2 linked regions of the Sus scrofa genome follow. The protein of the gene in region 2 purifies or fractionates together with the protein of the main gene of each other region. This does not show direct contact. Links are inferred from orthologs where the notes say so. Each region holds a gene or a part of one and is shown on either strand. Other genes may lie near its edges.

The links. Proteins that work in one complex are often made in the same cells at the same time.
Region 1: the proteins of SRPK2 (region 2) and YTHDC1 purify together in Homo sapiens (affinity purification with mass spectrometry; 4 studies listed by BioGRID and IntAct, with this or other methods). This does not show direct contact. The link is inferred for Sus scrofa from reciprocal best matches to the Homo sapiens genes SRPK2 and YTHDC1.

What each region holds. Positions count from the first base shown.
Region 1 is NC_010450.4:66,083,948-66,091,222, forward strand, and holds the start of YTHDC1 (YTH domain-containing protein 1), read left to right. Parts: upstream 1-2,591; 5' UTR 2,592-2,979; coding exon 2,980-3,007; intron 3,008-7,275. UniProt on the Homo sapiens protein: Regulator of alternative splicing that specifically recognizes and binds N6-methyladenosine (m6A)-containing RNAs.
Region 2 is NC_010451.4:105,260,374-105,267,648, reverse strand, and holds the start of SRPK2 (SRSF protein kinase 2), read left to right. Parts: upstream 1-2,959; 5' UTR 2,960-2,974; coding exon 2,975-3,101; intron 3,102-3,380; exon of another isoform or gene 3,381-3,534; coding exon of another isoform or gene 3,535-3,550; intron 3,551-3,640; coding exon 3,641-3,695; intron 3,696-7,275. UniProt on the Homo sapiens protein: Serine/arginine-rich protein-specific kinase which specifically phosphorylates its substrates at serine residues located in regions rich in arginine/serine dipeptides, known as RS domains and is involved in the phosphorylation of SR splicing factors and the regulation of splicing.

The DNA of each region.
Region 1 (7,275 bases), on a different chromosome or scaffold from region 2:
CCATTCCCACCCTCCAGCGGCCTCAACTTTGCAATTCTGTCTCCCTGCAGATCTTGTACCACAGATGTTTTAGGCTGGATCCTGACCTGGCCCTTACTCAGATTCGACTTGTTCCTCAAACATTACCTCACCACTTCCTCTTGCACTCGCACTCGCTGGCTGGTGGCAACTCACTGGTGCTCTCCTTAGATCCTTGACCACGCCCAGGCCTCTTTCTCCCTCAGAGCCTTTGATCGTGCTGTTGTCAGCCTGGATGACTCAGTCTCAACTTCACCTCCTCAGAGATGATTTAGTTTTTCTATGCAAAAAGCCTCCACCTGTTCCTCCCACCTTGCCCTATTAGCCTCTTATTTCTTTCATAGAATTCATCATAACTTTTAATTGGTTTACTTATGCTTTGTCTCCCTCACTAGAGCACAAACTTGAACTACCTGAAGAGAGAAACTGGGATCAATACCATATATGTTTTTTAACCTTGGCACCTATTACAACATTTGGGGCAAAATTTATTAAGTATTAGTTGACTGAAATAATGAGTAGAACACATATAGTGCTTTTCTTTTCTTTCTTTTTTCTTTTTTGTCTTTTTAGGGCCACACCTGTGGCATATGGAAATTCCCAGGCTAGGGGATCCAAGCTGTGTCTGTGACCCACACCACAGCTCACTGCAATGCTGGATCCATAACCCACATATCGAGGCCAGGGATTGAACCTGTGTATTCATGGATAGTAGTCAGATTTGTTTCTGCTGAGCTCCAGTCTAATGCTTTTCTTGATTCAGCTTCTTCTCACATAACCATTGAGTATGAACCTGAATTGAACCATGGGCAGTGCGGCCACCTAGGACTTTTTTTACATGAAAACCATTCTTTTGCCCACCACCCTTCCCCCTTCTACCTAGGCTAAGAGGCTTTTAGAGCTCAACTAGGCTTTATTTTCCCTTCTACAGAAAGCTTTCCTTTACTCTGTATTCCTCACTGGTCTGAGTAGCATGCACCTAAGGGTTCCAATAACTTCTCAGCTTACTCTACATAAGGCAGTGTCATGAAGTGGGCGGTGGCTGCCTCCAAATTGCCTGGATTAGAGCTATGCTCCTTACTACCACTTATCATTTGGGTACTTTAATTTCATATTACTTTACTTTCCTTATCAGTAATATAGAGCTAGGAATATACTAGCTAAAAAAAATGGCAGTTTTGGAAGATGAAGTCAGATCATATAGGTCATGTGCTCAGACCTGTCACAGAGTAAGAACACACATTTTTTAGCTATTATTTTTACACACTAATTGCCTGTTATCTTGTCTCTGCCCTATACATATCGAAAATTCCTTAAAGGCAAAAATATTGTTCTATTCACTCTTGATTCCCAAACATCCAATACATAGGAGGATTTTAGATTTACTGAATTGATTTCCTTTCTCCCTTCAAAACCCTCCAAATGACTCCAAATAACTGTTTATTCATCTCTGTTTATGTTTTCACGCTGCTTAATTCATCCAGTTGCCTTCAGTTTGGTTTCTATGTTAAAAGGGCAATCAAGGACCAAGACATTGTAGACTACTTGTCTTTCTCTAAACTTATCATTAGTGTGTGTGCATATATATATATATATATATAATAACAAAATTACTTTTTTTTCCTTCAAATTTTCTTTTCCTTGTAAAACTCGGTTATGGAGCAGTGAAGCAAAACTACATTTTTTATTCCTTTGGACAATGAACTTTAAGCAAGTTTCCTCTTAGATCTTTTTGTATTTTTGCCTTTTCTAGGGCTGCTCCTGTGGCATATGGAGGTTCCCAGGCTAGGGGTCTAATCGGAGCTGTAGCCATTGGCCTTTGCCAGAGCCACAGCAACGTGGGATCTGAGCCGCGTCTGCGACCTACACCACAGCTCACAGCAACGCTGGATCGTTAACCCACTGAGCAAGGGCAGGGATCGAACCCACAACCTCATGGTTCCTAGTTAGATTCGTTAACCACTGCGCCACGAGGGGAACTCCTTTCCTCTCAGATCTTTACATATCATCTAAAGTAATTTTTGGTCCCTTCCCTAGTTTTAATATCTGAATAGTATGTTTATATCAACTCTTTCCCAGGACCTTGATAAACGTTTAAATCAAATTTATTGTGTGAATTTACAAAGCTATATTAAAATACAATGTAATTCCTTTCCCCAATTAAAAACAAAACTGGTAGGGTTTTGTGACAAGTGAACTGGTTGCACCCTGCGCCGCGTCTGGAGCACCAAATAAGAAAGTACATCTGGTACCCGGAGCATAAAGTAGTGGCTGCAAAAGGACCCGCCCAGACTTGTCCTAAATAGGTCTCCGATTTCCAGAACTGAATCAGCTGTCAGCCAAAGCAATAGGAAGCATCTTTGGATAGACGTTTCGGGTGAGAAAACTAAGCCACTTGGGAGCAAGCAGCGCAGCTTGGGCGCCGAAAAACTAAGTAGGGAGACTTCACCGCTGGAAACAAAACTCTTTGCAGGGACTTCCGCCCTACAGGGGGCGGGGCGACGTGATGACGTTAGTCACGTTCCCTTCCCGCCCCTCTCCGCACTGTGACGTTCCCAGGGAGGAAAGAAGCGTAAACAGCGCAGGGCATTTCGGGAGCGGGATTGTTTCACGCAGGAAGCAGGCTCCATTTTAGCGCCGCCCGCCATCGCCGTCTGTTTCCCTTCCCTCCCCCTGACCCCTCCCGTCCCCAAGCCCCAACGGGAATCCTGGGCCTAGGATCCGAGACGCCGGAGTGAAAGGAGAGAAGGGGGAAAGGAAGAAAGGGAAGAAGCGGGGAGAAAAGGCGAGTCGGGAAGGGTAGAGTGGTGGAGACTAAGGTGCGAAGCGTGCAGCCCACCGGACGGACTGACGGACGCGCCTGTGCATCTGCTGCCGCGGCTGCGGCGCCCGCGCGAGTCGCGTCGAAGCGGCGGCGGTGGCGGCTGCGGCGGTGGCAGCAGCGGAAACAAGAGGGGAGCAATGGCGGCCGACAGCCGAGAGGAGAAAGGTTAGTGCAGAGCAAGGTGACGAGCGGAGGCGGGGCTCGGGAGTAGGTCGACGGAGCCGGGGTCGTCGTTGTGGGTTGGGGGTGGGGAGGTTAGCTTGCCCCGCGCGGGGCCGGTCTCCCCTTCGAGACGTTTGGACTCATTGGAAAAGACCAGGCCTGCCCTTTCCCCTTTCGTCCTCAATCTCCATATGACCTAACACTTCATCTAGCCATGGGTTTTTCTTTGATCCTAATTCTCTTCTTTACTTAACGTTTGTCTGTTCTGGGCGCGGCTGAGACTAGGCCTGTTCTGAGTTTCAGGCCCTTAGGTTTATTTCCTGGTAGTATTATGCGGATGTAATGCGTATTTTCAGAACAGCCTTTTTTGTTAGGCTAAATTTCGAAAACCCTTAGTGCTACAATTAAAGATGGTAGTTTAGTAAGCAAGCATCTTTAAGAAGTGGTATAGGTTAGGTTATTAATCTCGAGAAATGTCTACCAATAAATTAACTTCTGCCCGTTCTTGTTAACTAGGCAAAATGGCAAGAATGGCCTCTTTGGTTCCTCAAATGCTTATTTTGGAAAACATGTTTGGAAAGATGATTATGTGACTTAGGCCAAGCCAAGCCAAGCCAAGCCAAAAAAAAAAAATCCTAGCCACTGTTCTGATAGACACATGTTGTGCGTACCCCCAGAGGTACAATCAGAAACAAATGGATGTAATTCATAGAGAGTCGGAGGGATACAATTACTTTAAAATATGGGAAGAACTGATGTTGCCAGAATGGAATGTCATGTCTTTTGAAATACCGACTTCCCAGGCCCTAGAAATGTTAAAAGTAGATCCCCATCAATACATGGCTGAAAGGTGGTTTAGACTGGATCCTGCAAGGTTTTTAACAACCCTGTGGTGGTAGTTTTGGAAAGGTAATAGTTGATAAAAATATGGCCAGCTGCTGTCCTGTATTTCACAGATATACTCTTTTGTGTTGATAATTAATTTTAGGTGGTGATTTGTTGAAAGGGCTAGAGTAACATTAAATTGGACTTAAGAAGAGTCTCCAGTGAACTGCTCCAGGATTGGAACAAGCTCGGGAAATGGAGTGGACAGGAATGTATTTAAGATACTGCTCCTGTCTGAAGGCAGCACAATGATTAGGTTATAATAGTTTAATTTTCTTTCCTTAAACGAATCCTAGAGATACTCCCTCCCCCTTTGATAAATCCAGAAGGAATATGAAAATAGGATTGCATGGTGTTAGTGGAAAAAAAAGAAAGTGCTTTTAATTAGTGAAGTAGTGTTAAATAGATGACTTAATGTGAATTCAGTCAACACTGTATTGTGTTAGAGTGTAACAGATTGTGAGTTGTGTGTTTGGGAGTGGGTGATGGTGTTTGTGGGTGAGATGAACTAGATAGAAAATGAATAAAGCTCAGTGTTTCTCAAGAATTAATTATCTGTTAACCATGAACATAGTTGTGAGTCAGTTGTAGGGTAGACATGGTAATGTACAAGGAAGAAGAAAAGTAGGTGATGTTTTTAAAAATTTGTTTTAGGAGTTCCCTGGTGGCTCAATGGGTTAGAGATCCGTTGTGGTTACTGCTGTGGAGGATTTGATTCCTAGCCCTGGAGCTGCCACATGCCATGGGCGTGGCCAAAAAAAATGAAATAAATAAAAAATAAAAATTTTGTTCTAGAAATGGATTTAGTGATGAAAATGTAGTCTATGTATGTAAACGTTGTAACTACTTTTGGTAAATAGTAATGCCATTATTAGCAATCCTTAGGATAAATTGTTCAATCTTTGAAAGACCTCACATTTATGTAGTTTTTAAAAAACTTAATTTCCATAATTCAGCCTTTTTATTTCAAAAGTTATGATATAATTGCTTATCTTAATAGTTTAAGATTGTCTCCAGTTTACTGGAAAAGCCAGCAGATGCAATCTTACTGTAATTGCTTATTTAATTTTGGAATGGAAAGGTTTCTAGAATAAACCAGTTTGCAAATGAGACAGGCCTAGGGTATCTCACTTACCTGATATTTGTGAAACAGCTGGAATAATAGCTGGAATTAGAGTTAGTACTCGACTCTTTATTCCCATGTTGAACAGCAAAAGTGGAAAGCTAAATACTTATTGTCAACAGTTATTTTATATAAAACATTAGGTAATTATAAAAATAAGCCCTGTAAGAATTTTGGACATGTCACAAAACTTAGATTCCCTTCTTAAAAGCGTCCATAAATGGTATAAGATCTTGATATGAAATGAGTTTAAGTTGCAGAAGTTTGCTATAAATCACAGAACAGTTAAAAAAACTTTCAGTTACAAAATCCTTGGATTATTGGGCATTAGCTGTGTAATAAGCAGATGTTATCATCTATAAATGCTCATGTAATACCCATACTTAGAAGCTGAAACCTATAGCTGGAGAAATTGCCAGCTCCCTCTGATTCCCTTGGTGAGTCTTTGTCCAAAAAATGGATTTGGAAGATGTTGAAATGTTAGTGGTGTTAACTAATATTAAATACCATTTTTCTTTGAGGAGGAAAATACATGTTTTCTATTATAAACACCTTTATACATTTTATTTCTTAAGCTCTAATAAAGTTCTCGCTGAAGAACAGTTATACAAGTTTAATATACCTAAAATGTGGATAATAAGTTACCACTTTGAAGAGTAATATGTTTTCTGCATTACCAGACTGGAAGCTCCTTAAGGGCAGGAGTGTGTCTAGTTTACCAGGTTCTTGGTGTACAATGATTGTGTCTTGGTGCCTTGAGTAAATGATTTAGAAGGTTGTAAATCATTAACTCAAGGTTGGACTTCATTAATAACTGATTGGTTATGTGATATTTGCTATTGATGTCCAAAACTAAGAATTTCTTTTTTTTTAAATTTAGCAATATTTATTTATTTATTTTGATAGTAGGAAAATGTAACATACTTTTCTCAGTAATTGACAGAACAAGCAAACAAAAAAAGTATAAACACGGAGAAGGACTGAAAACTAGGATTGACAAATTTGATCTAATTGGAAATTATAGAACGTTGTACTCAACATTTCAGAATACACATTCTTATACATATTCTTTTCTCATACAGTGGAACATTTACCAAAATAGAATATTTTCTAGACCATAAGGTGAGTCTTAACAAATTTCAAAGGAATGAAATAATACCAAGAATGTTTTCTGACTTCAGTGGGATTAAGCTAAAATCAATGATAGAAAACTTCCAAATGTGTTAAAATTAAGCAGTACATTTCTGAATAACCTGTGGGTCAAAGTAGAAAAAATACATCTCACAAACCATATCATTGAACAAGAGAAGCTGGACACAAGAGTACCTTCCATACTGACTAGCTTCAATTATTTAAGGTTCCCTAACATCTCTAGTGATAATGGGCAGAATAATTTTCTGCTACCTTTTCCTGGAGGATTATCTGGAGGGAGGCATCTAGGAAGATGGTGACAGTCTAGATGATGTTCTTTGTGTGTTTCATGGGTGTATCACTTTGTAACATATCGCTGAGCTTACACTTAAAACATGTACATCTTATTATTTGTAGTTCAATATGAATGTTTGCCAAAAGGAAGCAATTCACTTTTAAGGGAACTTCTCTTTAACCTATCTTCATTTCTACCCATTCCCTACCATGGTTTCAGTTATTTCCTCTATACCATATCCTGTAATTCTGCTTCTAACGTGAGTACCAGTCCTGAATATCAAAACTAAGAATTTCTCAGTTTAATATATTTACACACATTCAGGCAAGTGCATATAAGTAGGTACACATGATTATATATACACATACGTATGTATATACATACTGTTGCCCTCATTATAGTAAGTTCTTAGGGTTAGATTGATTTGGTCCACTTAGGTTAGGCCTTTATAAAGCATAAAGTATATATTTGATATTGTAGTATATTGTTTCACCCATAATGGAAGTAGGATAAAAAATTAGAAATGCTCTCCTTAGACTTGAATTTTTGGAAGACAGGAAATTGGGATGGGATGGGAAGGGAAATGCAAGTCTTTGCACTTAATTTAGAGGAATGACAGTTTTGAGTGACAGAAAAGTAACTAAGAGACTGGTCTAATGTGAAGTGCAACTGAAAGGGGGGTGCCAGGAAATCTTGCTGTATTGCCAAATCCCACTAAGACTGTTAAATGAATTAAATTAAAAAGTATAAATTACTTTGGTGCCCTGTGTTGGAAAACAAAATGCGTAGTATATTTAAACACCTAGTTTTTGTTTTGTTTTGTTTTTTCTTTTAAAT
Region 2 (7,275 bases):
GCCTTATCTGTGGCAACACCAGATCCTTCAATCCAATGCGCCAGGCTGGGGCTCAAACCTGCACCTCCACAGCAACCCAAGCTTCTGCATTCGGATTCTTAACTCACTGCACCACAGTGAGAAAACCCAGACTGCTTTTTAAATACAAGGTGAAAAAGGTACCTTTACATGAAGAAAAGACTACATGTAACATCACCAATAATAGAACACACTGACATCATATACCTCTTTTTTTTCTGCTTTATTTATATATTTTTATTTTTTACTGTTTTTGTCTTTTAAGGGCCACACCTGTGGCATGTGGAGGTTCCCAGGCTCAGGGTTGAATCAGAGCTGTAGCTGCCGGCCTACACCATGGCCATAGCAACATGGAATTCGAGTTGAGTCTTTGACCTACACTACAGCTCATGGCAATGCTGGATACCTGACCCACTGAGAGAGGCCATGGATCGAACCTGCATCCTCATGGATACTAGTCGGATTCATTTCTGCTGTGCCACAATGGGAACTCCCATCATATACCTCTTGATGAAACATACTAAGATGCACACATCATCTATACAGTGTTCCTGACAAAATTATTTAAGTTGAATCTAATAGGGAACAGATGATAAAAATTGAGGAACATTCTGCAAACAGTAGAATGGAATTCTTCAAAGAAGTGAGTGTATAAAAGAAAAAACCCAGGGATTCTTTTACAGTAAGGGATCTTAAAAAGTTATGGCAATGCCATGCATGAACCTTGACTGTATGCCAGACTGAGAAAAAAGTCAGGACATTTTGAAAATTTAAATATGGCCACTGTATGTTATAGTCAGTAGTATTATAATAATAATAAATTTTCTGGGAGTTCCCGTCGTGGCGCAGTGGTTAACGAATCCGACTAGGAACCATGAGGTTGTGGGTTCGGTCCCTGCCCTTGCTCAGTGGGTTAACGATCCGGCGTTGCCGTGAGCTGTGGTGTAGGTTGCAGACGCGGCTCGGATCCCGCGTTGCTGTGGCTCTGGCGTAGGCCGGTGGCTACAGCTCCGATTGGACCCCTAGCCTGGGAGCCTCCATATGCCGCGGGAGGGGCCCAAGAAATAGCAACAATAACAACAACGACAACAAAAAGACAAAAGACAAAAAATAAATAAATAAATAAATAAATTTTCTTGGAGTGTTAATAGAATTCCGATTATGTAGGAGAATATCTTTGTTCTTATTAGATCCTTAGTGAAATATTTAAGGGTCAAGAGTAACAGTCTTCCAAAAACTCAAGTGATTCATCATAAAACAAAACAAAAAACTCATACACGTGCTCACACATACAGAGAGAAAACAAAAGTGGTGAAATGTTCAAAATTGGTGCATATGGGTTGATATTGGTGCTCACTATATTTTTCCCATAAATTTAGGTTTTTTTTTTCCTGCTTTTTAGGGCTGCACCCATGGCGTATGGAGGTTCCCAGGCTAGGGGTGGAAATCTGAGCTACAGCTGCCGGCCCATACTACAGCCATAGCAGTGCCAGATCTGAGCTGTGTTTGGGACCAATATCATAGCTCATGGCAATGCTGGATCCTTAACCCACTGAGTGAGGCCAGGGATTGATCAAGCAACCTCATGGTTCCTAGTCGGATTCGTTTCCACTGAGCTACAACCGGAACTCTGTAGGTTTGATATTTTTGAAAATAAAAAATTGAGAAAGTAAAAAGCTCTTCAGATTCAAGCAGTGCTGTTCCAGCGGGTTTAGCATCTTTAAAATAATCATACTTTTTTTTTTTTTTTTTTTTTTTTTTGGTCTTTTCTAGGCCCACATCTGTGGCATATGGAGGTTCCCAGGCTAGGGGTCTAATTGGAGCTGTAGCCGCCGGTCTACACCATAGCTCACAGCTCACAGCAATGCCGGATCCTTAACTACTGAGCAAGGCCAGGATCAAACCCGCAACCTCATGGTTCCTAGCTGGATTCGTTAACCACTGAGCCAGGATGGGAACTAGCATCTTTAAAATAAATATTTTATTTATTTATTTTTGTCTTTTCTAGGGCTGCACCTGTGGCATTTGGAGGTTCCCAGGCTAGGGGTCTAATCAGAGCTTTTGCTGTTGGCCTAAGCCACAGCAATGCCAGATCCGAGCCGCGTTTGCAACCTAGACCACAGCTCACAGCAACGCCAGATCCTTAACCCACTGAGCGAGGCTGGGGATGGAACCCTCAACCTCATGGTTCCTAGTCAGGTTCGTTAACCACTGTGCCATGATGGGAACTCCATAAAATAAATATTTCAGAGCAGCTATTCTGATCAGTTAAAACTACAGATGATGGAGTTCCTGTTGTGGCTCAGCAGGTAAAGAACCCCGAGATAGTGTCTCTGAGGATGTGGGTTTGATCTCTGGCTTTGGTCAATGGTTTAAGGATCCATTGTAGGGGTAAGCTGCAGTGTAGGCTGTGTATGAGGCTTGGATGCAACCCCTAGCCTGGGAACTTCCATATGCCCCTGGATGGCCTTAAAAAGAAAAAAAAAGAAAAAAAGCGCAGTTGAGATTAAATGGTCAGGATGAATCTCTTTCAGAAATATAATTATTTAAATGAACAAGGGACCTCTGCAGTTATTTTTCTCACAGTCATCTTGATTAGGAAACATGATGCGTGAGTTTGGAGTCAGCTAGGCCTAAATTTGAATCATTGCTGGGTAAACCTCTTCAGGACTGTTTCCTCTTCGTAAGATGGAGAAAGAACTCCTTTGGTGGGTTGTTGAATTAAACTGTTACCTATGGTATTTACAGAGCTGGGCTTTGATTCGTGTGCAAACACTTAATTCAACCTTCCATGCTATTTGCATCGTTTCCTTCATCACACTCGAGCAATCCTCTGGGGTAAAGGTGAGAAATAAGATGACTTTTCCAAGGTCACACAGCTATTGAAGGACCCAGGTTTCCCAGCTCTTGGTCCTGTGCCCTTTACACACTCGCCGGAGAGGAGGGAGCGGCGCTCATGGGGATGCAAGGATGTAGAGGAGCAAAGGGGGAAAAGAGGCCGCGCGAGGAGAGGTGGTGTGAGACCCATGGAGGCGCTGGCCCAGGAAAGGCGCATGGAGAGGCGGGCAGCGCGTCGGGCCGGGGTAGGTAGAGGGGCTATGGCTCGTGGCCCTATGCCGGGGAGAGGAAGGAGGCCTGGGCCAAACGCGGGGGCGCAGGAGCCGAAGGCCCAGACGGCGGCGGGGGCGGGAGCAGCGGTGGACGTGGGGGGGGGTCATTTTCGCCCAGGTGAGTCAGGCGGGTGGGTGCAGGTGGGTACGGGTGGCGCGGGAGGGACAGCGCGGAGGGTCTGGACCCCACCGGGTGGGTGGGGGCGGGGCGGGGGCGGGGCCGGCTGGGGGCGGGTCTTGCTGGGCCCCCAGCTGGAGCGGCAGCTGCGGCGGCGGCGCAGGCGCGGTCCCCGCCTCCTCCTGGCCGGCAGAACGAGTGGTGGCTGCATCCCGGCTCGGCTCCCGCGTCGCCGCCGCCGACGCCGCTGCCGCCGCGAAGCCCCCTCCCCGCTTCCGCTGCGTCGCGATGAGCTCCCGGAAAGGTGAGTGGCCCGTGGCGTCCTCTCTTCCCTGCCACGCGGCCCCTGAGGCCGGTCTGCCCGACCGTTAATGTGTGTCTTCTCTTTCCTCAGTGCTGGCCATTCAGGCCCGAAAGCGGAGGCCGAAAAGAGAGAAACATCCGAAAAAGTGAGTCCACGCTGCGCTAGTCTCCGGACCCCCGCCCCTGCCCGGTCGGGGGTAGCCCGCGGCCGCGCAGGGGAAAGTTGCTCGGGTCCCCGGGGCGGGCGAGCGGGCGGGCTGATCCCCCGGGACGCCGGCGCTCGCCTCCAGCGCGCCCCGCGGGCTGCCCGGGGGGAGGGGCTGACGGTCGGGGGAGGGGCGCGCTGGCCCGCGGCCAGCCCGCTGAGCATCCCGGACCCTCGGCCCCTTGGGTCCCAAGGCACAGGGGGCTGACGGACGAGGAGGCGCCGGGCGTGCGCAACGTCCCCGGCTCGCCGAGCTGTCCCGGGGGTCGCGGGCCTTCCTGGGAGGGGCGGTGGCGTCTGCAGGCCGGGCCCGGCCCCGCCGCGCCGAGTGCCGGCGTGAGGCTGCGGCGTTGCTCCCACCTGGCCACCTGGGCCCTAGAGGAAGAGGAACGGAGTGTGAGAAAGAGTGTGTGTGTGTTGGGTGTCTCCTCCTCTTCCTCCCCGGCCCCCACCTTTCGGCCTTTCAGCTGAAAACCCGAGCTGGTTGTCAAGTGGTTTGCCTCGGGCGTGTTCCTGGCTCGAGTTCAGCTCCGAGACCTGTGCGTTTCGGCGCTTGGGTTTTTTTCCGAAACTTTCTGCCCGGGCCGAGCGTGCCTTCACTGCGCGGCGGCTGCGCCCGGGTCTCCGGCTGCGCGGGACCGGTGGGCGTGTGCGCGGGCGGTCCTCGGCGCGGCTGCCCAGCCCCTCATTGTGCTGGGAGGCGACGAACGGGGTGGTGATATTTAAAACGTGCCAGCCGCCAGCCACCCCCAGCCTGGCCGCGGACCGGAGTGGGAGCGCCCGGCGCTCGGGAAGTCTTTCCTGGAGAGCTGCTTCGGGACCGCGGAGCGCCGCCGTGTCTCTCCCTTTCTTTCCTGGTTTTGAAGAATCTATCAGCGTTCAACATCTTTACTCCTTCTCCCAGATTTGTGGCTTCCCTCTTCCATTTGAGCAAGAAATACCCTGTGTTAAATTTGCTACTATAGGGATAGCCCATCATCATCTTTAAATAAAATCACGAAATATTTCTTGTTTGTTTTCTTTAGGGGACGAACCTGCAGCCTTCCTAGGCTTTTCCCCTTCCTATTAGCCTTGATTTCTGCTTAGCGAATTTCACACCCATTGGTGGCGTCTATGAAAACTGCCTAAGTCTTTACTATTAATGTAATGTATCGTGATAGGATTTTTGTTCATTCAAACCGGAATATAACTTGAAAGTATGTTCAGCATTTCACAAAATGTCGTAGCAACATCATAATGCCTTAAAAAAAAAAAAAAGAAAGAAAAACCTACTAGAGCGAGGAAGAAGTACTTATTAAGGACTTAAGGAACTGGTGGGTAAAAATTGGGTATTACATTCTCGAAACGTTAAATAGCAATGGATATTTGATAGTTTTAGATGCTTTAAAAATTAATGCTCTCAATCAGAACCTTACATTAGGCATTTCTTTTGGTGAACGACGGAAAGCCCATAAGTAAGGACTGTAATGTTTAGGATCCTGAGTGTTGGGTTTGGAGCACAACTTTCAACTCAAAGAGTTTATTCCTGCATAGCCCCTTTTTTTTTTTTCAGAAAAGTTAATAGAAGTTGAAAAAGACATGCTGGGAGTTACCCTTGTGGCGCAGCGGAAATGAATCCGGCTAGTATCCATGAGAATGCAGGTTCAGTCAGTGGGTTGGGGATTCTGCGTTGCGGTGAGCTGTGGTGTAGGTCACAGACACGCTCGTATTCTGCGTTGCTGTGGCGTAGCCCAGCAACTACAGCTCCAATTTGACCCCTAGCCTGGGAACTTCCATATGCCGTGGGTGCAGCCCTAAAAAGACACCCCCCCAAAAAAAGAAAAATGCATGCCTTTTTTTTTTTTTTTTGTCTTTTTTGCTATTTCTTGGGCCGCTCCTGCGGCACGTGGAGGTTCCCAGGCTAGGGGTCCAATCGGAGCTGTAGCCACCGGCCTACGCCAGAGCCACAGCAACGCGGGATCCGAGCCGCGTCTGCAACCTACACCACACAGCTCACGGCAACGCCGGACCGTTAACCCACTGAGCGAGGGCAGGGACCGAACCCCCAACCTCATGGCTCCTAGTCGGATTCGTTAACCACTGCGCCACGACGGGAACTCCAAAAATGCATGCCTTTAATTTTGGTGATGGCTGTTTGTGTGCAGAGATGGGTATATGTGTGTGTGTGTTTTGTAAACATGTATGTAAAATGTAGAAAAATCGTTAAGTCAACAGGTGTTTCATATTTCAGGGTATGACTTTCCTAATGACCTAGAGCCTTTTTTGGTGTGCTGTTGTTTGGATTTATGTAGTATGTTTATAAAGAATTAGCATATAGGGAGTTCCCATCAGGGCTCAGCAGTAGTTAACCCAGCTAATATCCATGAGGATGCATGTTCCATGCCTTGCTCAGTGGGCTAAGGATCCAGTGTTGCTTCAAGCTGCAGTGTAGGTCACAGATGTGGCTTAGAACCAGCATTGCTGTAGCCCTAGCTTGGGAACTTCCATATGTCACAGGTGGAGCCCTAAAAAGCAAAAAAAAAAAAAAAGTGCATATCCACAATATTCAACTTTTACTCTCACAGGCTAATTTGTTGTTGTTTTCCCTTATCTATTGTAATCATGTGACTAGATTTGAGGGATGACGCCTCAGCCAGTGACTAAATGAACTGGCCAGTCTGTAAGGACTAGATAGCTGTGTTACATAAAGTGTTTGATTGAGGCAGTGTCATTTTTCTTTTTCTTTTTTTCTTTTTATGGCTGCACTTGCAGCATATAGAAGTTCCAAGGCTAGGGGTTGAATTGGAGCTGGAGCCGAGGCCTATGCTACAGCTTGTGGCAATGCCAGATCCTCAATCCACTGAGCAAGGCCAGGGATCAAACCTGCATCCTCACAGACACCATGTTGGGTTCCTAACCTGCTGAGCCACAGTGAGAACTCGAAGACGTGAGAACTCGAAGACGTGTTTTTTTAAAGGGGTGTTTGATGTGTTTGATTTATTTACATATTCAACAAGTATTTGCATGCTCTTCCTAGGAAAGAGTAGTAGAGTTTTGAACAAGACAAGCAAACTTCTAATAAAGCTTACATTTTATGGGGGTTTGGGGAACCCTAAAGCAAAAGGGAGAAAATGAAGATGAGAACCATAAGTATAGTGGTAGATGATATTTGAAAACTGCTAGTCAATTTGCTGCTTGCTTTTCATGCATTTGTCCCTTGTGACAATTCTCTGAGGTAGGCATTGTTGTTCTAACCACTTTACAAATGAAATGGGCACAGCCTGAGTAATTACCATGTCCAGCTGTTACGTTGAATCTAGTTAGGCTGGGACCAGAATCCACACTCATCTCTCTCAGGAGGTGATATTTGAACAGAAGTTAGAATAAGAAGATGAGATGGAAGTGTGGCAAATGGGTTAGGAATGTTGGGGAAACCCAAAGGTTATGGTGGCTAGAGTGCTGCCCAAGAGGATGGTGAGGGGAGAGGAGTCAGAATGAGTAGGGCCTGCCCTTGTAAACTATTGGGGGCAGAGGGATTAGAG